Anolis sagrei: one gene and its partners. The protein of the gene in region 1 binds, or shares a complex with, the protein of each later gene. Links are inferred from orthologs where the notes say so. Each region holds a gene or a part of one and is shown in the gene's direction. Other genes may lie near its edges. The genes, in order: ODAD4, ODAD3 and CLXN.

Region 1 (8,308 bases):
TTCAAAATAAGAGAACTATGCTCAGTATAATGCAGAAAGGGGACTATAAAAATGAAACACCACTCATTTATCTGTTATTATGATTATGTTTTATTAGACAATAAATAACAACTTTTAAAATGATAAGAAATAAGAATATTATTTAACTACAAATCAGCATAAGGGGGTTGTTACTTTGGAATATATTTAATTTTATTTAGTTTACTAGCAAAAGTTGAAAACCTGCATATTATAGTATATGTATATTATATTAATATTATATATTAATATTATATTAATATTATAGTATATTATAGTATACATCCCCCCCCCTTTGTGGGAAAGCTTGATACCACAACCCCCGTTTTAATGAGCCCTCCTCCGCAAATAACCTGCTTCCCCTTATCTCACCCGAGTTTTTAATCAGTTTTTAATTAGTTTTTCTTTTAATCATTACATGTAGCCCGCCAGTGGCGCAGTGGGTTAAAGCCCTGTGCTGGCAGGACTGAAGACCGACAGGTTGCAGGTTCGAATCTGGGGAGAGGCGGATGAGCTCCCTCTATCAGCTCCAGCTCCTCATGCGGGGACATGAGAGAAGCCCCCCACAAGGATGATAAAAACATCAAATCATCCGGGCGTCCCCTGAGCAATGTCCTTGCAGGCGGCCAATTCTCTCACACCAGAAGCGACTTGCAGTTTCTCAAGATGCTCCTGACACGGAAAAAAAAAGTAGCCCGCCCACTGTCATTGTGATTGTGTTTATGGTAATTTTATATCATTATGCATTCATATGTTTTATGTAATTATTATGTTGTTGTTTATTGTTTGTGTTTTTGGTTTTATTCTGCTGTAATTTGTTGTTTGGGCATGGCCTCATGTAACCCACCCCAAGGCCCCAGTGGGGAGATGGTGGCAGGGTATAAATAAAGATTATTATTATTATTATTATTATTATTATTATTATTTCCCATGTCAATGGAGCAATAAATCTGCTCCTATTTTAGGGTGGCTTTCAACCTATTTTGGTCCTCAGGCAATCTTCTTCCTGAATTGGGTGTCTTTTCAGGCCTCCCTCAAAATTTGTTGCCAAATGCTGACATATGTTAATGCTCCAGAATAAGCTTTAATTGTAGTAAGTTGTGCTGAAGGTGGCATGATTGCCCAAAGACTTACAGAGGCCCAGTTCACTGCAGGAGCTGTCTAAGGTGCTGAACCTATTTTGTCCTAGTTATGGAAAGCCTAAAGTGAACCTATCATGGGTTTTCGTGGTAAGATTTGTTCAGAAGGTGTCTGCTATTGCCTTCCTCCAAGGCTGACGTGCCCAGGATCACCTATTAGGACTCTATAGCCTAGAGGACATTTGAACCCTCATCTCCAGAGTCATAGCCCAGTGCTCAAACCATTAACCACAGTGGATGTAGTACATTGGACAGAATTGCAGGTTATGAATGGATTCAGTGCCCACTAATTTGGAAGCTGTCAGTCACTACTCATTTACCCAGCTCTCACACTAAACTTTAGATTTAGGGCCACCCTAAGGACTTCATCACATGCAATAAAACCAGCTTTTCAACACAGTTATGAAACAGCTACTTATGGAGCCCATCACATGACTCAAGCTCATACTGTGGGTTCCAGGTATTTTGCCATTTCTAAAGTTTGTTTTTCCCCCTACACTTCCTAAGCCAATTGGCATACTACTCATCCTGTGCAATATGCAACAAAACCAAGATTACAACAACATCTGTTATAGAACTCCAATATATTGATTACAACGTCATCTGCGTGCATTCAGAAGAAGACCTACAAGCCATTCTAAATACCTTAGCAGAAGCATGCGAGAAGCTTGGCCCGTCATTGAACATTGAGAAAACCAAAGTGCTCCTCCAGCAGTCACCAGCCAACCCTTTTCCAATGCCAGATATACAGCTTAATGGTGTAACATTAGAAAATGTTGACTATTTCCTCTACCTTGGTAGCCACCTCTCCACAAAAGTCAACATTGAAACCGAAATACAACACTGCCTGAGCTCTGCAAGTGCAGCATTTTTCCAAATGAAGCAGAGAGTGTTTAAGGACCAGGACATCCGTAGGGATACCAAGGTGCTTGTTTATAAAGCTATTGTCTTCCCAAACATGCTGTACACCTGTGAAACATGGACTATCTACAGACATCACATGCAACTCTTGAAACGATTCCATTAGTGTTACCTTTGAAAAATCCTGCAAATCTCTTGGGAAGACAGGTGGACCACCAGCACTTAAGCGATGGTTCTCTGCCATCAACTCTGCTGGACCGGCCACATTGTCCAGATGCCCGACCACCGTCTTCCAAAGCAGTTGCTCTGCTCTGAACTCAAGAATGGAAAATGGAATGTTGGTGGGAAGGAAAAGAGATTTAAAGATGGGCTCAAAGCCAACCTTAATAACTCTGACATAGACATTGAGAACTGGGAAACCCTGGCCCTTGAGCACTCCAGCTGGAGGTCAGCTGTGACCAGCAGTGCTATAGAATTTGAAGAGGCACGAATGGAGAGAAAGAGAGAAACGTGTCAAGAGGAAGGCACATCAAGCCAACCCTGACTGGGACTGCCTTCCACCTGGAAACCAAGGCCCTCACTGCGGGAGAACATGCAGATCAAGAATAGGGCTCCACAGTCAAATACGGACCCACTGCCAGTTCACTGAACTGGGAAGACAATCTTACTCGGACAACAAGAGATTGCCTAAGTAAGTAAGTAAAGTATGCAACATGCAATAATGCAGTTAGATCCTTTTTTCTTCTTGAGTTAAAGATCCTTTAGAAGTTACCTCTTCAATTAAAATGTGTATTATTTAACTTATTCCCAAATGTTGTACACAAGACCTGCCTTTAGGGAAGGAAATCTTACTGCTCATTTTGATGACAGGCAGCTGCTCCAACGCAAAAAAAGAAAGGAGTGAATGGAGTTAACTGGCGCCACTGTTGCCTCTACATGCATTTGATCTATCACACCATGTCTGGGTCTCTCCTTCTCTTCTATGAGCCATTAGATCCACCTGCGCTATGAACCGGAAAAAAGAAAGACAGAAGCAAAACAAACTTTCCTTCACATCTTCTGAACCTGCTGCTACCTCATCAAGCTGGGACTGGATTTCTCCTCACCTCACAGAGCCCATTACTGTAACTGCCTTGTGGGCAGCGGAGGAAGACGGGAACTGGTATAACTGCTGCTTCTGCAAATTGGCTCCTATTTTAATGACACATTGTTGTTCCTACAGGCGCTGTGTAAATTCACTCTGGGCCTTGCAGGCTGAACAGTAGGATAAAAAATTATAATATATACACAAATCAACTTGCCCTGGGAACACATATGGCAACACCGATCTCTAATACAAATATATATCTACAAGCCACTCTAAACACCTTCACAGAAGCATACGAGAAGCTCAACCTGTCATTGAACATCGAGAAAACCAAATTGCTGTTCCAGCAGTCACCTGCCAATCCCTCTCCAATGCCAGAGATATAGCTTAGTGGTATAACATTAGAAAATGTTGACCATTTCCGCTACCTTGGCAACCACCTCTCCACCAAAGTCAACATCGACACCGAAATACAACACCGCTTGAGCTCTGCGAGTGCAGCATTTTTCTGAATGAAGCAGAGTGTTTGAGGACCAGGACATCTGTAGGGATAACAAGGTGCTTGTTTATAAAGCTATTGTCCTCCCAACTCTGCTATATGCCTGCGAAACGTGGACTGTCTACAGACGTCACATGCAACTGCGTTGCAGTCTGGTGATCTGAAAAATAAGGTAATGAGAAAGTGATGGTTTCTAATATATGTAAAATTTTATGCTTGTGGGTAAACAGTATTTCTTGCTGTTTCTTTGTCAGTGTTGATGTGGAGATTGTCTGGTTTGCCTACTCGGGAACATGGAACATATAATTGTCCATTTTGGGGTGTCCCTTTCAAATCTATGATATCTATGTGTGAATCATATCTATCTATCTATCTATCTATCTCTATGGCTGAATACCTCTTTGTCAGGAGGGCTTTGATTACGTTTTCTTGCCCTGGTGAAGGGAGTTAGACTGGATGGTCTTTTCTGTTTTCTGTTGGTCATTTATTTATTTATTTACCTTACTTATATACCGCTGTTCTCAGTCCGAAGGCGACTCACAGCGGTTCACAACAAATACGAACAGCAAAAATTCAGTGCTACAGTATAGAAACAGTTAACAACCTAACACATTACACAATTAATAAACAGTTAATTGTCATGGGGGTTCTGTGTGGGACGTTTGGCCCAATTCTGTCGTTGGTGGGGTTCGGAATGCTCTTTGATTGTAGGTGAACTATAAATCCCAGTAACTACAACTTCCAAATGTCAAGGCCTATTTCCTCCAAACACCATCTGTGTTCTTATTTAGGTATATTGAGTATCCCTGCTAAGTTTGGTCCAGACCCATCATTGTTTGAGCCCACAATGCTCTCTGGATGTAGGTGAACTACAACTTCTAAACTCAAGGTCAGTGCCCATCAACCCCTTCTGGTGTTTTTTGTTGGTCATGGGAGAACTGTGTGCTAAGTTTGGCCCAATTCCATCATTGGTGGAGTTCAGAATGCTCTTTGATTGCAGGTGAACTATATATCCCAGCAACTACAACTCTCTAAAGTTTGATTGATTTGGTTGATATTGGTTGTCTCATTGATTTCTATTAGTAATGAGGACAGCCAAAGAGAAAGCAAGGATCACATTTTGGCGGGAGTGCAACAATGGGAAGGGATGGAACTATAAGACAGCCAACGCAAAGGAGCCGCCTCCTGGCGTTGCTCAACTTTTTTGACTCCTCCGAGGACCCGTTGGGTTTCCGGAAGTGCTGGCGTTGCTAAGCAGCGCGTTGCCAAGCAACGTTGCAGCGTCCTCCTCGGCCTTGCCAGCTCTAAGGATGGTGGACTCGGAGGGCGACGCTTTGCGGGGGACCTTCCCCAGCTTCATGGCGGAAGGGACGATGCTCAGCCAGCGAGGAGAGCTTACCAAAGCCCTCGCCTGCTACACCTACGTGAGAATATTCGGGAAGGGACGGGAGAACAAGGGGGCATCTACACTGTAGAATTAATGCAGTTTGACAGCACTTTAAGTGCCAAGTCTTAATGCTATGTGGGTGTACTTTTGGAAGGCCTTTAGCCTTCTCTGCCAAATAGTGTGTGGGCCTCATCAAACTACAAATCCCAGGATTCTATTGCATTGCGCCATGGCAATGAGAGTTGAAATTTAGTTTAAAGTAGTGCCACTGTAAAACATTAAGAATAATAATAAAACTATAATAATGAAACTTTATTTATACCCGCCACCATCTCCCCAAGGGACTCGGAGCGGCTTACATGAAGCCAAGCCCAATAACACAACAATAAAACAGAAAAGTGATAAACAAAACAATACAATGCAATACAAATTAATATAAATCACATATAACAACAACACACAAGGATTAAAAACCTATGGCCGGGCCAAATGTAGTAATTTAAAATTTAAAAATAACCCTAGGCATGAACAAGGTGGAATATATCTGGAAGGAGGGTTTTAAGAAGTGAGCGCGCAGTCCAACGCAATCCAGTAGTTAAAGTGCATTGGTAAGGGCATTTTGCTGGGAATTATTTCTTTATTCCGGGAAGGCACACTGGAACAGCCACGTTTTCAGTCTCCTCCTAAAGACTGCCAGAGTTGGGGCATGCCTGATGTCCCTGGGGAGTGAGTTCCAGAGTCAAGGAGCCACCACAGAGAAGGCCCTGTCCCTCGTCCCCACCAATCACACTTGCGATGGAGGCAGGAGTGTGAGCAGGCCCTCTCCAGATGATTGAAGAGATCGCATGGGTTCGTACACAGTGATGCGGTCACGCAGGTAGGCGGGTCCTAAACTATTTAGGGCTTTGTAGGTAAGCACCTGCACCTTGAATTGGGACCGGAAAATGAATAGCAGCCAATGGAGCTCCTTAAACAGGAGGATTGACCGCTCCCTGTAAGGAGCACCAGTTAACAACCTGGCTGCCGCCCATTGTACCAATTGAAATTTCCAGGCCGTTTTCAAGGGCAGCCCCACGTAGAGTGCATTACAGTAATCCATTCTGGAGGCGACTAAGGCATGAACCACCCTGGCCAGATCCACCTTCACGAGGTACGGTCGCAGCTGGCGCATGTCTTAATTGTGCGAAGGCCCTCCCAGCCACCGCCGACGCCTGAGCTTCAAGCGTAAGTGATGAGTCCAGGAGAACACCCAAGCTGCGGGCCTGTGACTTCAGGGGGAGTGCAACCCCATCCAACACAGGTTGCCACCCTATACCCAGATCTGGAGGACCTCTGTCTTGTCAGGATTGATCTTCAGGATTGATCCTCATCCAGACAGCCACTGCGGCCAGGCACTCATCCAGCACCCGAGGGGCTTCCTTGGAGTTAGGTGAAAAAGAGTAGTAGAGTTGGGCGTCATCTGCGTAGAGGTGGCACCCAACTCCAACACAATATTGGAGGGAGTACACCTTTTGAAGTTGTGAGAACCATAAGATATCTCTGTTGTCATCTGTGAAAGGCAGAAGAAAAGGGAATGGTCAGCTAGCTACTGTGATAATACCATTGACGGTGAATACCATATATTTGTTTGTTAGGCCCTGCAGCTCCAGCCAGCAGACAGGAACTGCCTTGTGGCCCGCTCAAAGTGCTACCTAAGACTAGGAGATACGGAAAATGCCTTGAGGGATGCAGAAGACTCGCTGGCAGCTGACAAGGAATTTACCAAGGTGGGCAACTAGTAGATCAGGAGGCTTACTTTAATCTTAAGGGCTCTCTTACTCAGTTCATTAAGGAATTTTTGGATGAATTATGTGAAAGATGTTATAGATATTTTTCTCCTTATTTATTTATTTATTTATTTACCTATGACATTTATATGTCGCCTTTCTCATCCCGAAGGGGACTCAGAGCAGCTTACAAGTAATATGTAAATACAATATATTATATAACATAGCATAATATTAGTATTATACAGGGTGAGGCAGCATAACTTCCTTTTTTCAAAACTTAATAAAACCCATTGTATGACTCAGAATTTTTTTATTTTTTTTAATAATGTAGGCACATACCTAAAGTTTTGTTTTACGTAGTTTTGAAGATCAAATTAAGTAGGTGACATCCCCCACTCTCCATTATCCATACATTGAGTAAACTGATTTCTAGCATTTGTCATGACTCTTGCCAGCATAGCAGGCGTTATGTTGGCAATTTCTTCCTGGATGTTGGTCGTCAAATTTTGTAGGGTCCTTGGACGGTTCACATAAACCCGGGATTTTAAAAAAACCCATAGCAAAGAATCATAAAGGGCCAAATCTGGAGAGTGGGACGGCCTCTCCAAATCTACTCGAAAAGTAGGGCTCAATGGCAAAAGCACGCTCCTCACTGTTCCATGATGTTCCATGACGCATGATGGTGACTGAACTGTGTCAGCACAAAACTTCCGCCTCTCGAACAAGACCATTAGTGCTCTGCTACGTCTTCAACCGACTGAATGGCGCACATTTTGAAAAATGAAGTTATGCTGCCTCAGCCTGTATATTACTATATTGGTCTACACCATTATACTGTAATATTATTAGTAATATTACATGTAATATAAAGTTGCAGTTACTGGGATTTATAGTTCATCTATTATTAGTAATATTGTAGTTCACCTACAATATTACTAATAAAATTACATGTAATATTACTAGTAATATTACATGCAATATAAAGTTGTAGTTACTGGGATTTATAGTTCATCTATTATTAGTAATATTGTAGTTCACCTACAATATTACTAATAAAATTACATGTAATATTACTAGTAATATTACATGCAATATAAAGTTGTAGTTACTGGGATTACATTATAATATTATCAATATTATATGTATATACAATATATTATATTACATTATAAGCACAGCACAGGAGACAAGATGGAACTGTTTTCCTAGCCCTCTCTTCACTCTGGACCCAGAGCAGCAGTTGGACTCCCAACTTTATCATCCCACAAAGGACAAAGTGTAGCTACCAACTGGTTTAGAAAAAAATATTTTGTATGCAGCATTTATTTGGGATTCAGTAGCGCAGTTGAGGGAACTCCTGGTGGTGCAGCAGGTTAAAACGCTGAGCTGCTGAACTTGGTGACCGAAAGTTTGGTGGTTCAAATCCAGGGAGCAGGGTGAGCCTGCTGTTAGCCCAAGCTTCTGCTAACATAGCAGTTCGAAAATATGCAAATGTGAGTAGATCAATAGGTACTGCTCTGGCAGGAAGGTAGTGGCGCTCTATGCAGT
Region 2 (8,079 bases), on another chromosome or scaffold:
CAACACTGTCACATAATCCAGATTATCAAAGCAGATAATGTGCCTCATTACCAACAGACCTCACCACCTCTGAGGATGCCTGCCATAGATGCAGGTGAAACGTCAGGAGAGAATGCTACTGTAACATGGCTATGCAGTCCAAAAACTCACAGCAACCCAGTGATTCTGACCATCAAAGCCTTCAACAACATATAGTGTGGTTTTGCTAATCACGCAGATTAATACATACGCAGTTGTTTAATTGAATACACATACATTTCTTAAGTAATTAAACAGAACTACAGATTAAGCAAAAAGTATAGAATCAAGACTATTGTGTGTTTTAAATCTATTTTATTGGCCCTGCCCATTGTGTTTGACTTCTGTGTTTCAAACGTCGTGATTTTATATTATTGATGTGTTATTTATAATTGGTTTTGTATTGTATTTTTATTTTTACAATTTACTGCTTGTTGTTGTTGTTCATTCGTTCAGTCGTCTCCGACTCTTCGTGACCTCATGGACCAGCCCACGCCAGAGCTCCCTGTCGGCCGTCACCACCCCCAGCTCCTTCAAGGTCAGTCCAGTCACTTCAAGGATGCCATCCATCCATCTTGCCCTTGGTCGGCCCCTCTTCCTTTTGCCTTCCACTTTCCCCAGCATCATTGTCTTCTCTAGGCTTTCTTGTCTCCTCATGATGTGGCCAAAGTACTTCAACTTTGTCTCTAGTATCTTTCCCTCCAGTGAGCAGTTGGGCTTTATTTCCTGGAGGATGGACTGGTTGGATCTTCTCGCAGTCCAGGGCACTCTCAGCACTTTCCTCCAGCACCACAGCTCAAAAGCATCGATCTTCCTTCGCTCAGCCTTCCCTAAGGTCCAGCTCTCACATCCGTAGGTGACTACAGGGAATACCATGGCTTTGACTAGGCGGATCTTTGTTGCCAGTCTGATGTCTCTACTCTTTACTATTTTATCGAGACTGGACATTGCTCTCCTCCCAAGAAGTAAGCGTCTTCTGATTTCCTGGCCACAGTCTGCATCTGCAGTAATCTTTGCACCTAGAAATACAAAGTCTGTCACGGCCTCCACGGTTTCTCCCTCTATTTTCCAGTTGTCAATCATTCTTGTTGCCATAATCTTGGTTTTTTTGACGTTTAGCTGCAACCCGGCTTTTGCGCTTTCTTCTTTCACCTTGATTAGAAGGCTCCTCAGCTCCTCCTCGCTTTCGGCCATCAGAGTGGTGTCATCTGCATATCTGAGGTTGTTAATGTTTCTTCCAGCAATTTTCACCCCAGCTTTGCATTCATCCAGCCCCGCACATCGCATGATGTGTTCTGCATACAAGTTAAAAAGGTTGGGTGAGAGTATGCAGCCTTGCCGTACGCCTTATATTGATGTATTGTATTGCTGGACTTGGCCTCATGTAAGCTGCCACGAGTCCTCTTGGGTAGATGGACTCGTGGGTAGATGGTGGCGTAGATGGTGGCGGGGTATAAATGGGTAGATGGTGGCGGGGTATAAATGAAGATTATTATTATTATTATTATTATTATTATTATTATTATTATCTGAATATGGACTCTTGATACCCCAGTCCAAAGCAGATAGTGTGGGATGTATTGCCTTGATATTCTGGGTTACATGGCTGTGTGGAATGGCCCTAAGTCTCTTCAATATGATCCAGTTCAAAGTAGATAATCTGGATTGTATATGGCAGTGGAGATGGGGCCTCAATGACTGTGTCGTGAGATGCTGCGTGTCATCAACGTGAAATGTTTGGAAAGCTTTGCAAATGTTTGGAAAGCTGTTTAAGGAGCTCCACTGGCTGCCGTTCATTTTCCAGTCCCAATTCAAGGTGCAGGTTCTTACCTACGAAGCCCTGAACGGTTTGGGACCTGCCTACCTGTGTGACTGCATTTCTGTGTACGAACCCACGCGATCTCTTCGATCATCTAGAGAGGCCCTACTCGCGCTCCCACCTCCTTCGCAGGCGCAATTGGTGGGGACGAGGGAGGGGGCCTTCTCGGTGGTGGCCCCCAGGCTCTGGAACTCACTTCCCAAGGACATCAGGCACGCCCCAACTCTGGCAGTATTTAGGAGGAGCCTGAAAATGTGGTTGTTCCAGTGTGCCCTCTCAGAATAAGGAAAACTCTCAGCAATATGCCCTCAAAATGCACTTTACCATTGATTTAGGACCGACTGCACTCCCTCAGTTCTCTTTGAAAACCCTATACCTGTTATATCCTACCTTGTTCATGCCTAGCGTTATTTTTTAAATTTTAAACTATTACATTTGGCCCGGCCATAGGTTTTTAAATGCTTGTGTGTTACTGTTTATTGTTTATGTGATTTATATTAATTGTATTGTATTGATTGTTTTTGTTATTGCCTTTGTTTGTTGATTTACTGTGGGCTTGGCTTCATGTAAGCCACACTGAGTTGCTTGGGGAGATTTATTTATTTACTTACTTTATTTATATACTGCTTTTCTCAGCCCTCAGGCGACTCAAAGCGGTGAACAACATCGATACAAAACATCACGAGACAAGTATAGGGCAATTAAAAACAATTGTAACATAAATCATTAAACATCAGTATAACAATCATTAGCGCCTCAACAGTAAAATCAGAATCCAGTCTCATCATCCATTATTCCGTATTTCTATTCCGGTGGCACAGTGGGTTAAAGCACTGAGCTGCTGAGCTTGTTGACCAAAAGGTCACAGGTTCGATTCCAGGGAGCGGTGTGAGCTTCCACTGTCAGCCCTAGCTTCTGCCAACCTAGCAGTTTGAAAACATGCAAATGTGAGTAGATCAATAGGTACTGCTCCGGCGGGAAGGTAACGGCGCTCCATGTGGTCATGCTGGCCACATGACCTTGGAGGTGTCTATGGACAACGCTGGCTCTTCGGTTTAGAAATGGAGATGAGCACCATACCCCAGAGTCAGACATGACTGGACTTAATGTCAGGGGACAACCTTTACCTTTACCTATGTATTACACTGTTTAATCAAATGCTTGTTCGAACAGCCAGGTCTTCACTTTCCTCCAAAACGCCAGCAGGGAGGGGACCGATCTGATATCTGCAGGCAGAGTGTTCCACAGCCGAGGGGCCACCACTGAGAAGGCCCTGTCTCTCATCCCCTCCAAGCGTGCCTGTGATGCAGGCGGGACCGAGAGCAGGGCCTCCCCAGATGAAATTAGTGTCCTAGTCGGTTCATAGGAGGAGATGCGTTCGGAGGGGTAAGTTGGGCCAGAACCGTTTAGGGCTTTATAGGCTAACGCCAGCACTTTGAATTGTGCCCGGTAGCGAACAGGCAGCCAGTGGAGCTGGCGCAACAGAGGAGTAGTATGCTCCCTGAGTGCCGCTCCTGTTAGCAACCTGGTTGCCGAACGCTGGACCATTTGAAGCTTCCGAGCAGTCTTCAAAAGCAACCCCACATAGAGAGCGTTGCAGTAGTCTATATGGGATGTAACCAGAGCTTGGACTACCGCGGCCAAGTCAGACTTCCCAAGGTACGAGATGGTAGCGGGGTAGAAATAAAGTTTTATTAATTATTATTATTATTTTGTCGTGTCAGGAGTGTCCTGTTGTGAGAGAATTGGCCGTCTGCAAGGACGTTGCCCAGGGGACGCCCGGATGATTTTTAATGTTTTATCATCCTTGTGGGAGGCTTCTCTCATGTCCCCGCATGAGGAGCTGGAGCTGGTAGAGGGAGCTCATCCGCCTCTCCCCGGATTCGAACCTACGACCTGTCGGTCTTCAGTCCTGTCGGCACAGGGCTTTAACCCACTGCGCCACCGGGGGCTCCATATTATTATTATTAATTATTATCAATTATTGTTAATTATTGTTATTATTGCAGTTAGTATATTGATGTAATTTTCTGTAGTTGTGGCATTTGTTAAGCTTTTTTTGTGAGCCCCTTTTCTTTTTGTATAACCAAAATGTATCTTTGCATGTAGTTAAAACATATATGTTGATACATCAAACTGGAAATGAATGGCCCCCGTGCCGTGCCTCCCCCTCCGGCTCTGGTGGCGGCTTCTGGCCCACCTTCAGCCCGGAAAGGCAGCCCCACTTCCCTCTTCTCGGCTCCCTCTGCCCCCTTTCCACCCCCTCACGGAGCCTTACCCTCAACCGGCCACGGAAACCCGCGTGGAAAACGGTCCGAAGTTCACCCGTCCGACGCCGGAAGCAGACGGCAGGACATCCGCCTCTGAGAGAAAGGAAAAGAGGCGGAGATTGCTCCTTCCTTCCCGCTTGTGCTTCTCCCGGCGCCATTTTGAGCGAGGCAACAACATGCCACTTCCTCGGGCGGCCATCTTGAGAGTGGCGGAAAATGCTTCTGCTGATTGGCCGCGGCCAATAGGTGCTTTGCATCGCAGCCGGTCACCATGGAGACGGGCCCAGCTTAAGGATGCTGAGGCGCTGCTGAGCCAGATGCAACCTGGCAGAGAAGGAAAGGAGAAAAAGAGAAGCCTGGCAGAAGCACCAAGGAAGCTATGCAGCAGAGGAACAGACTGTTGTAGAACCTTTTATTTTATTTATTCCCCCCCTATCGATCACAAGCACCATTTCCCTTGTTGGCAGCACAATTCCTGCAGGGTTGCCAATGGTTGCTGCAGACTAGTGACTTGCCATCAAGTCAATACAGTGTCGCCCCTCCTCCACCTGCTTCACCTTCTCCAGCTTTTGACTACCTGCCACTACCATGCCTGTGACAGAGGCCCAGCAAGGAATAAAGCCCCCCGTCCATGAGCAGATTGCAGATCTCCAGAAGAAGATACAGCTGCTAGGTAAGGCCTGCTCCAAAGGTGGAGGCCCCTTCCACACAGCTGTATAAAATCCACATTATACTGGATTGTATGGCAGTGTGGACTCAGGGCCCTTTCACACAGCCGTACCTTGGGAAGTCTACCTTGGCCACGGTAGTCCACGCTCTGGTTACATCCTGTTTAGACTACTGCAACGCTCTCTACGTGGGGTTGCCTTTGAAGACAGCTCGGAAGCTCCAACTAATCCAACGCTCGGCAGCCATGATTTTAACAGGAGCGGAGCGCAGGGAGCATACAACCCCCCTGTTGCGCCAACTCCACTGGCTACCGATCTGCTACCGGGCTGAATTCAAAGTGCTGGCGTTGGCCTTTAAAGCCCTAAACGGTTCCGGCCCAAGCTACCTATCCGACCACATCTCTGCCTATGAACCCACCAGGACTTTGAGATCTTCCGGGGAGACCCTGTTCTCGATCCCGCCTGCTTCTCAAGCTCGGCTGGCAGGGACGAGAGATAGGGCCTTCTCGGTGGTGGCTCTTCGGCTGTGGAACGCCCTTCCTACGGACATTAGACTAGCACCATCTCTAATGGCATTCCGCAAAAAGGTGAAGACCTGGCTGTTTGAGCAGGCGTTCCAATAATTAGTGCAATGATTGGTTAATGAACACTGGAATGGAACAATGGATGACAAATCTGGAACATGTTTTTGATGACGAGACGACAGTGAATGGGTATTGTAGTAACTGTTTATTAATTGTGTAATGTGTTAGGTTGTTAACTGTTTCTATACTGTAGCACTGAATTTTTGCTGTTCGTATTTGTTCTGAACCGCTGTGAGTCGCCTTCGGGCTGAGAACAGCGGTATATAAGTAAGGTAAATAAATAAATATAACCCAGAATATCACATTTCTTATCTTGGCACAGTTCATAGAGCAGTTGTTCTTTGGCAGCTGACATGCTTTCAATGTTGATTGAGATTATTGTCATGGTTGGTCCTGAAAAGGTCCGTTGGTTGTTTTGCTTGCTTGCTTGCATGCTGCAAGTTGCTTCTGAGGTGAGAGAATCAGCCGTCTACGAAGACGTTGCCCAGGGAACGCCCGGATGTCTTGCAATCCTGCGAGGAGGCTTCTCTCAGGGAACACCTCAGCAAGCGAGAGTCCAAAAGTGGCAGGCTCAAACCCAGCACCTCAATCCGTGGGTGATACCAGATGAGAGACTCCCTCCTGGGCACACAGAAGACTGGGCGACTTGGAAGGCGCTGAACAGACTGCGCTCTGGCACCACGAGATGCAGAGCCAATCTTAAGAAATGGGGCTTCAAAGTGGAATCCACGACATGCGAGTGCGGAGAAGAGCAAACCATTGACCACATGCTGCAATGCAACCTGAGCCCTGCTACATGCACAATGGAGGAGCTTCTTGTGGCAACACCGGAGGCACTCCAAGTGGCCAGATACTGGTCAAAGGACATTTAATCAACTACCAAGTTTGCAAAATTTGTGGTTTTTTATCTGCTTGTTTGTTTTGTTCTGTTAGAAATGTAATACAATGGTATGGTTGCTGATGACACAATAAATAAAGCACTTCAACCAATGGCTGATACCAAATGAGAGACTCCCTCCTTGGCGCACAGAAGACTGGGCGACTTGGAAGGCGCTGAACAGACTGCGCTCTGGCACCACGAGATGCAGAGCCAATCTTAAGAAATGGGGCTACAAAGTGGAATCCACGACATGAGAGTGTGGAGAAGAGCAAACCATTGACCACATGCTGCAATGCAACCTGAGCCCTGCTACATGCACAATGGAGGAGCTTCTTGTGGCAACACCAGAGGCACTCCAAGTGGCCAGATACTGGTCAAAGGACATTTAATCAACTACCAAGTTGGCAAAATTTGTGGGGTTTTTTCTGCTTGTTTGTTTTGTTCTGTTAGAAATGTAATACAATGGTATTGTTGCTGATGGCACAATAAATAAATAAATAACCCAGATATCAAGGCAGATAATCCTACAATATTTTTTTATTATTTATTTACGACATTTATATGCCGCCCTTCTCACCGCAAAGGGGACTCAGAGCGGCTTACAAGGTATATATACATACAATACACTATACTATTAGCATAGTACAATACTTAGGCAATCCCTCGTTGGACAAGTAGGATAGTCTTCCAGGATCAGTATTCTTGAGGATCCGTAGATGACTGTGGAGCCCTATTCTTGATCTGCATTTTCTCCCACAGTTGAGCGCATTGGTTTCCAGGTGGAAGGCGGTCTAGGGAAGTAATGCTACCCCTCTATTCCGCTTTGCTTTGACCACACCTGGAATATTGTGTCCAATTCTGGGCACCACAATTGAAGAGAGATATTGACAAGCTGGAATGTGACCAGGGGAGGGCGACTAAAATGATCAAGGGTCTGGAGAACAAGCCCTATGAAGAGCGGCTTAAGGAGCTGAAGAGAAGGCTGAGAGGAGATATGATAGCCATGTATAAATATGTGAGAGGAAGCCACAGGGAGGAGGGAGCAAGCTTGTTTTCTGCTTCCTTGGAGACTAGGACGCAATGGAACAATGGCTTCAAACTACAAGAAAGGAGATTCCATCTGAACATGAGGAAGAACTTCCTGACTGTGAGAGCCGTTCAGCAGTGGAACTCTCTGCCCCGAAGTGTGGTGGAGGTTCCTTCTTTGGAAGCTTTTAAACAGAGGCTGGATGGCCATCTGTCAGGGGTGATTTGAATGCAGTATTCCTGCTTCTTGGCAGGGGGTTGGACTGGATGGCCCATGAGGTCTCTTCCAACTCTTTGATTCTATGATTCAATGAAACCTTTTTTCAGCAAACGTTACCAAGAAAATTACACCAAACTTGGAAACAACCGAATGGCAAAAAACAACAACAGCAAGCTGTCTTCTTGATATGGGTTTTAGCAGGCTTCAGCCCCCCCCCCCCCCAAATTCTCATGGTGGTTCGCGAAAAGGCCTTATTGGTGCATTATTTAAACTGTTATGTTTATTCATATCATATTCTGATCACCATACTTAATGTATCCCATATGCATGGGGGTATTGGGGTAATGATACAAAAGGTTTGCTAGGCTAGACCCTCTTTCACTCAGACTCAGTCCCCCCCGAAACTCAGCCCCCCCCCCAACAAACATAAAAAAAATCACCCCCCCCCCCCTCCGAAACGAAATCCTGGCTACGGGCCTGGGTTTTAGACACCACTGCCTTTGATTTTCAAGATCATTATTTTCTCGAGTGGAAAAAATTCCTGAAAAATGTAAAAGTTATCTTATTTTCAGCCTCCCCGCCCCCTCTCAATAT
Region 3 (8,210 bases), about 58 Mb from region 1:
TGCGCATGCCTTCCTCGGTGACAGAGGAGGAAGCCGTGGCAGCAGGCTTTCTCCTAGGAGGGAAGCAAGGCCACAGAGTAAGCCCGTTGCTGCAGCTCCCTTCGCCACCAACAAGAAATGCGTGAGAGGGCGGAAGGAAAGGCCTCACACTTCCCCTTCTTTGTAAGGGAGGAGGCAAAGGAGATGCTGTTGACACAGGTATTGGCCACTCAGTGCCCAGAAAGAGTGGACTTTTAAAAAACATTTTACTCTATGTTTTACCAATAGCTTTTGCATTTCTCACCTTTGGCTTATACTTGAGTCAATAAGTTTCCCAGGTTTTTGTGGTAAAATTCGGTGCCTCGCTTTTACATTCGGGATGGCTCATACTCAAGTATATACAGTAATCCATAAAGAAATTAAAGTACTAAATACTGTTATCAGGGTGTTTTACACTGAGCATGGTAAAGGTCTCTGATTTGTCTGCATTTAAAACCGCCTTGAGTCACCTTAGGACTGATAAAGGTGGTATATAAATACAGTAAATAAATAAATGTGCCTTTTGTTGTATCTAGGATACCAAAAGTCTTAGCAGGAAAAGGAAAAACACAGATCGTGGGGATGGCTTATTATCGTCGGAGTCTTCATCAGAATCTGAGCATTCGGAAGAGGTTGGTATACATACAAAAAGCACTGAACTAGTAAAACAATACCTGGAAAGTTAAGATCTCAGTCATGTGCATTCCTGGAGATGAGAAATGATTTTTCCTTTTGTATCTGCCACTCCAGACTAAATTTAGAGGATCGTTATATGATTGTAGCTGCCCTGGCACTGAAGTGAAGCAGTGTTCAGTATCTACTTTTTTTAACTGAAAAATGGGAGATTGGTAAATAGAAGAAATTTTAGAGAGCATGACGTGGTTACTATGTAGTATGGTAGTGTGTTATTTTTCTGTTTCAGCATTTTTAATACCTATTCTGTCCATTAAATGTTTGTTTCATCATTTTTCCCTTAGGTACAAGCAAAAAAGAAGAAGAGCAGTGAAGAAAAAGAGAGAAATGTAAGCATTATTCTGTTACTCCAAGACATCAAGGCCGCTTCTATACTGCCATATAAAATCCAGGTTATTTCCTTTGAACAGGATTATATGGCAGTGTAGACTCATATAATTCAGTTCAAAGCAGATAATGTGGATTATTTGGTAGTGTAGAAGGAACCTAAGACAGTATTAATTGTGCTGCAACAAACATCCCATTCTCATAACAGTAATTGCTCTGAGATTTCCCAGTGTGAGAGCAGAATTATCTGACTAAATGAATTTCCATGAAAGAACAGAAATAAGTAATAGAATAATAGAACTGAAAGAGATCACAAGGGCCATCTAAATACAATTTTGCCCAATTTTTGTTGTGGACAGAACCCCGCATTTACATAAGAAAACTTCTGCTTCTGTCAGGGGGCTTTCTCTTCGTAATCTTTTCTGAGATCTACTGCAGGGTGTTCCCTCACTTTCCACAGCAAAATTTTAGAGGCACGTGGAGCACTATAGTAGTAGTAGTAGTAGTGCTACTGGGGATATTCCCCCTTTTCTTTCAGCTGATAGAAGCAGTTCTGATAGTGGGTTATCTTAGTTGGATTCTACCTTTTGGGTTTGGAAGTCCTGGCTGTTAGGGAAAACTACCCTAAAATATACAGCAGAGCATCCAAAAACAAACAGGATACAAAAGTAGAGCATCAACTCATTACCAAGCAGAGTGTGAAGTGCCGTTGTTTGTGGCTGTAAAGCAAGCATCCTCAAACTGCGGCCCTCCAGCTATTTGGGCCTTCAATTCCCAGAATTCCTGACAACTGAACAAGCTTGTTAGGACTTCTGGGAGTTGGAACCCTAAACGGCTGGAAGCCGGCAGTTTGAGGATGCCTGCTGTAAAGAATGTAGAGCTTAGGCAGGCAAAGATGCAGAGCCCGATCTTAAAAAAAAAAACAAAAAAAAACACACACACACACAAAAGGTTTATTTACAATAATAAGAAATAACTGCATTTCTTAATAGTTAAGAAATGGGTCTGAGCTACTCTAACACCCATCTCTTCTAAGGTTTCAAAGAGAGAGAAAAATCATCGAAGCAGTATATCTCTCTGACACACAAGCAGAGAGAGATCTCAAAGCACATATGGATATGAGATGATGACTCAGATTTTAGATGGTTTTTAATCTGTTTGTATTTTAATCTGATATGTATTTTAATTGCTTATGTGTTTAGATCATTTTATATTTTGATTAGATGTCTTTTATTGTTTATCTGTGCGGCATTAAATGTTTGCCAGATTTGTAAGCTGCTTTGAGTCCCCTGCGGGGTTGAGAAAGGCAGGGTAGAAATGAAGTAAATAAACATACTCAGATGTAAGAAACAGAAGTCAGATTTTAAAAGGCTTTCAGTAGAAAAGTATCCATTCTGCACAACTAATCAGAATGAGTGATGGAAGGAAAAACCCCAGAGTATTCTAAGCTAACTAAACTGTTCCTCCTTGAAAACTAGGGCAAAGTGGGGTTGAATTCCAACATCTGCATGGTAATAAAGATGAAAATAATGGTAAATCAGAATATTTGAAATATTGATACTATCCTTGCTTTGGAAGGGTGTTTCAATCAAGGTGCCCTGAATTTTATATAGAGATTTGTTTGAAGCTAATATTGTATTGGGGCCTTGCAGATACAAAAGGATTTCTTTCTTAGAGAACCAGAGCGTTATGTTCATGTAAACGAATCTCCTTCGTACCTGTAGCTCTGTTGCTAAGCATTCTTAAAGTTGAATGTGGCCTTGGTTGATTGTTTTTTAAAAGCACATAATACCTAGCTAGCCCAGAATTTGACTCATTTGGTTCCAGCATCCTGTAATTGTTTCTGATATTTCTCTTTTTCAAAGGATAAAACAAAAAAGCGAAAGAAACACAAGAAACATGGCAAAAAGAAGAAAAAGAAGACAGCTAGCTCAAGCTCTCACTCAGAATAACACCAGTCAAGAGTCTTACTTTCCTTCTCAAAAAGTGCAATGAGTCTAGAAAGAACTGCAACTGTGAACATTATGATGAACTCTACCAACTGCATGAGCTCTTCTGTGTGTGAACAAAATATTCGACACTTTCAGCTTGCCTGGTGCCATTGGGCTGGACATAGCCATTGATGTTGCCTGATGCTTAATATATTACATGTACTACCCTCCCCTCCAATAGCTTGTGTGGAATGTTTTGAAATAAGTCCTACAGAAGGTTTAAATGATTCAAAAGCAGAATCAGATTGGATTGATAAAATGTTTTTTCTCGTTACCGAGTTTTAATGCACACATGTAGCTCTTACAACCAGGTGTCATCCTGTGTTGCAAGGAAAAGAACGTATTCACATATAAAAAAACTGCATGTGGATAAGCTTCATGAGCTATAATAAATGAAGCAACACTTTGTGTAGGCCTCAGAGCTCCTGGTGGATCCATAAGCAAGACCAGGTTTGGGGCATTTCCTTTTTAACCCTCTGGCAATGAAGATTTTCATGATGAAGATTTTTTGCGAAATCCCTTCAAAAGTGATAGTATGGCATATCAAATCCTATGACATTTTTGTTACTATTGATGCCATATTTGAAACGAGAACATACAAGTAACACCCAGGTGTTACTTTTGTACATATGTGTTGTGTAGTTTTGCTCCCACTTTCTCAAGTGGGACATGGGGTATTCATGCCTTCAAGGATTTAGAGGGCATATCTTGATCTTTGCAAATAGCAGTGTTTGTTGAGACTGTCGATGTGCTTCCAGAGGTGTTTTCAGAAGCCTTTTTCTTCTGAGTGCTAGATTCCCTGCGAACCTTTCCTATGCAGGCCTCATTAAAAGCAATGGGAATTGCAGAAGAGCAGTTGCGTCAATATTATTCAGACAACGATAGATGGGTCGCCATGTTACTTTGTTTATGTAGCTGCCCCATTCATGTGTATAATTATGTCATTCTTGTCCTGTTCCTGTGCTTTATGTCTGAACAACAGGCAACACATCTGGCTACTCATTCCTATCTAGTTTGGTTCTCAGTTTATTCGATATACGTAGCATAAGCTGCTAGCAAAAACACCAGCCTAATGCAGCATCAGAATGTGATGCTTTTACTCCTATTGATTTAAAATAATACTGAATACTGTGCTAATAATACAGATAACCATTAGTTGAAGCGATGTTAAGTTTAACTGAACTTTTCCTGACATTTGTTTTCTTCAATTGTGATGTGTGTCATTTAAGGCATTTAGAATTGCATGATTTTGTACCATTTTAAACTTAATAGGGGGGGAAAAAACTGTCGTAATCAGTGGGTTTTTAAAAATTATGTTCCGCATAACCGCATTACTTACAGATATGAGTTCCTATTGCATACGTGCTTATGTTTTAAGCGCACCCTTGCTGAAGATATTTAGCATGTACAAAGCTGAGGTGACTTCAACCAGCTTCATATTGAAGCTGATTTTAACTTGACGCAAGTTCAGTGGCAGAACCTTGTTATGCAAACCTATGTCTCGGTATACAGAATTACTGCCAGACACTTAGTAAAAATCTGTTTTAAAAGGTTCCCGCCTCTCTTGATTCTATGTGTGTGTTTTGAGCAACTGTGGGCAAAGTTGGGCCTTCCTTCCAGGTGTTTTGGACTTCAACTCCCACCATTCCTAACAGCCTACCTCAGGCCCCTTCCCTTTCCCCCTCCGAGGTAGGCTGTTAGGAATGGTGGGAGTTGAAGTGCAAAACACCTGGAAGGACGGCCCAACTTTGCCCAGGCCTGCATTCTATTCTTGGCCGCAGGGAGGCCGGAGTCCTCCGTTGCCACGGTAACCTCCGGCCGCACAGAGCTCAAGATGAACAGGAAGAAGCTGCAGAAACTAGCCGAATCTCTCTGCAAGACCGCCAAGCACTGTGAGTGAGCGCGAGGCAGGCCTCTCGGGTTTCTTTCATGCAGACAGGACCCCTATCTTACCTATTTCCACATCCATACTTTGCAGCCGTTTCCTTCGTCCATTTCTCCCTCCCTTGCTTTCCCCCATTCACCGTCCTTCTTCCCTGCCTTTTCTCTTCCCTTCCTTTTGCTTTCTTTCCCCTAACCTTCCTTGCTGTCCTCCTTTCTTTCCTCTTTTCTTTCTTACCTTCTTCCCTTGATTTCTCTTACACCTTCCCCGCTCTTCTTTCCTTCCTTCTTTTCTCTTCCCTATTCTTTTCCCTTTCTCTTTCCTTCCCCCCCCATATGATTTCCCTTTTCTTGTTTTACTTCTTTTTCTTTAATCCCCCTCTTTTTCTTTCCTTCTTTCCATTCTTTTTTTTCTTTCTTCCTTCAACCCCCCTCTTCATTCCTTTCTTTCTTTCCCCCTTCCTTCCTCTCTCCGTCTCCTGATACATAAGTCACCTAGCAGTAGCCTATCTGCTTCACTCCCTTTCTTTCCCAGTCACATTTCTTTTGCCATGTCAGGAACAACTTGAGAAACTGCAAGTCACTTGAATTGGCTGTCTGCAAGGACGTTGCCCAGGGGACGCCTGGATGTTTGGATGTTTTACCATCCTTGTGGGCAGGGGCGGCTCAACCCATTACACAAAGTAAGCATTTGCAGTATAGTTGATTTTGCCCAGGGGCGCTCTTGAGGCGCTCTTGGGGGAAAATAGACCTTGACATATGCGAGTTGTATTTACTGGGATGTATAGTTCACCTACAATCAAAGAGCATTCTGAACTCCACCAATGATGGAATTGAACCAAATATGACACACAGAATTCCCACAACAAACAGAAAATATGTATCAGTGATTGGTTTGTGGGGGGGGGGGGGGCAAAATACTGTTTGCTTACCATTGAAAATTACCTAGAGCCGCCTCTGCTTGTGGGAGGCTTATCTCATATCCCCGCATGGAGAGCTGGAGCTGACAGAGGGAGCTCATCCGCACTCTCCCCGGATTCAAACCTCCGACCTGTCAGTCTTCAGTCCTGCCGGAACAAGGATTTGACTCACTGCACCACCGGGGGTTCCTTTCCCAGTCACATGACAGAAAGCCACTTCACCTAGCCACAGGCAATTGGCAGTGTTCCTTTTTTCTGTTTTAATTATCATAATCACTTGTTTCATAGTCAATAAATTTGAAGTGGAATGCCTCATAAAGCTTTTCAACCAGTTGGAAGTGGAGCCCAGCGACAGATACGCTGGTATTGGTTTGGATCGCAACTCGTTTCGAAATATTCTTCATGACACGTTTGGAATGACAGACGATATGATAATGGACAGAGGTGAGATTGAATACCTTCTTGTAAATCTTAAATACAGGCACTTCCCAAGTTACAAACAAGATAGGTTCCGTAGGTTTGCTCTTAATTTGAATTGGCATGTAAGTCTGAACAGGTACATTTTTAGGTGTTAACAACCCCAGCCAAATTTGTTGTTTATTCATTCAACATAAATGGGCTGGCAGAACGTTGGATAAGTGAAAATGTTGGATAATGAGGGATTAAAGGAAAAGTCTATTAAGCATAAAATTACATTATGATTTTATAAATTAAGAACCAAAACATCACGTTTTACAACAAATTGACAGAAAAAGCAGTTCAATACACAGTAACGTTATGTAATAATTACTGTATGTATGAATTTAGCACCAAAACAGACAAGAGGTCTTTCTTTCACCCTTGACATTATTCCAGGTGGGAGGCAGACTGTGTTGGATAGTACAGAACATTGGATGAGAGACTCTACTGTATTAGGTTCATATAGCATAGGGAACACCACCTCTGTGGTGTTCATTTTGCCGCCTGTGCCCCTCACCTCACTTTCTGTTCCTGTGATCATTGGAAACTTGGGTTTGTTGTGCAAACAAGGACACATTTTGGTGCCTCAAATGCTAGGCCTTTTCCCTGGGTGTATTTGACCCGATTCCAAAAATGGCACCATTTTCCCCTGTCAGCTCTGGTTTTTAAGATACAGATCATATGCCACATAGCAGTTGTCATCTGCTCACCCATAGAAAATTCTGATAATCGTATCTAAGAAACCAGATCTGATGAGGTCTATCCAATGTAATTTTCTGAATAAGTGCCCCAAATAACCCAAATAATTCAGTGTGTCAATATTCACACCAAATTGCATTAACATAAAATGGAGAAGAGTCATTTATATTAGACATATTTACACCATCTCTTATTGAGCTAGTCTCTGCCATATAGGGCAATGGGTTGTTGTAGGTTTTGGGGCTGTGTTGCCATGTTGTAGAAGCATTCTCTCCTGATGTTTCGCCTGCAACTATGGCAGGCATCCTCAGAAGTATTGAGGACTCACATAGATACAGGTGAAATGTCAGGAGAGAATGCTTCTAGAACATAATCACACAGCCTGAAAAACCTACAACAACCCAGTGATTCCAGCCATGAAAGCCTTTGACAATATATATAGGGCAATATACGCCATGACAAGCATGTTTTTATTGCTGTGATGAGGCAAGCAAGATGACTAACTGCTATGTAAAGCACAACACAACTGTTTAAAATGTCACCAGAAGCTATGGGTATAGAACTCCATAAACATGTTTTCAAAACTCCCACTTGGTGACAAAGAATTACTTCCAAATCTGGCAGAGATCCAGAGTTGCTACTTTAGGTTTTCAGGGGCTTGAAAAGGCTTACTGGGACTTACTTTCATTTTGAATATATGATCTACCTTGCATGCTATATTGGAAAATTGTTTTTGAAAGTCTCATAGTTTAAAAGGAATTGTGCCACAAAATTGGGAATAACGATCTTTTAAGTGCTGAGTTGTTCTCTTTCTTTCTCAAAATAATTTAAAAATAATTTTGCTGGTTGATGTATTCGATAGGGCAATGAATAAGGATGTTGTTCATTATTAATTGCAGGGGATGCTTTCAAGACTAGAGGGTGGTTGAACAGCATTGGAGTTGATAGGAAAAATAAATCGAAAGCTTTGAACTTGGGACTCCTGCCTAGCTTGAACACATATTCCAAAACTGAATGCTGCTTCTCGTTTCAGAGTGGAGAGGCAGAAAAATGCTTTAAATATGCTCAGAGGCATTCAAAATAAATATATCCAGTTTAAGAATGCTCCTGTTTGATTCAGTAGTGATTGCTCTGAAATGGAACAGTAACCTTTAAGTAGATGGAACACATTATTATTATTACACATCACAGCAACCCATTATTATTTATTTTACTTTTCTAA

What was found.
Region 2: ODAD4 (region 1) and ODAD3 share a complex: the UniProt entries of both Homo sapiens proteins name them as parts of the outer dynein arm-docking complex. The link is inferred for Anolis sagrei from reciprocal best matches to the Homo sapiens genes ODAD4 and ODAD3.
Region 3: ODAD4 (region 1) and CLXN share a complex: the UniProt entries of both Homo sapiens proteins name them as parts of the outer dynein arm-docking complex. The link is inferred for Anolis sagrei from reciprocal best matches to the Homo sapiens genes ODAD4 and CLXN.

What each region holds. Positions count from the first base shown.
Region 1 is NC_090026.1:44,925,068-44,933,375, forward strand, and holds the start of ODAD4 (outer dynein arm-docking complex subunit 4), read left to right. Parts: upstream 1-4,880; 5' UTR 4,881-4,914; coding exon 4,915-5,028; intron 5,029-6,625; coding exon 6,626-6,757; intron 6,758-8,308. UniProt on the Homo sapiens protein: Component of the outer dynein arm-docking complex (ODA-DC) that mediates outer dynein arms (ODA) binding onto the doublet microtubule. Plays an essential role for the assembly of ODA-DC and for the docking of ODA in ciliary axoneme.
Region 2 is NC_090022.1:163,758,300-163,766,378, forward strand, and holds the start of ODAD3 (outer dynein arm-docking complex subunit 3), read left to right. Parts: upstream 1-4,357; 5' UTR 4,358-4,695; coding exon 4,696-4,780; intron 4,781-8,079. UniProt on the Homo sapiens protein: Component of the outer dynein arm-docking complex (ODA-DC) that mediates outer dynein arms (ODA) binding onto the doublet microtubule. Involved in mediating assembly of both ODAs and their axonemal docking complex onto ciliary microtubules.
Region 3 is NC_090026.1:102,547,268-102,555,477, forward strand, and holds the start of CLXN (calaxin), read left to right. Parts: upstream 1-4,793; 5' UTR 4,794-4,863; coding exon 4,864-4,921; intron 4,922-6,118; coding exon 6,119-6,274; intron 6,275-6,520; exon of another isoform or gene 6,521-6,770; intron 6,771-6,806; exon of another isoform or gene 6,807-8,210. Other genes in the region: protein FAM133B, read left to right, coding at 555-650, 996-1,040, 2,904-2,990. UniProt on the Homo sapiens protein: Component of the outer dynein arm-docking complex (ODA-DC) that mediates outer dynein arms (ODA) binding onto the doublet microtubule. Seems to regulate the assembly of both ODAs and their axonemal docking complex onto ciliary microtubules.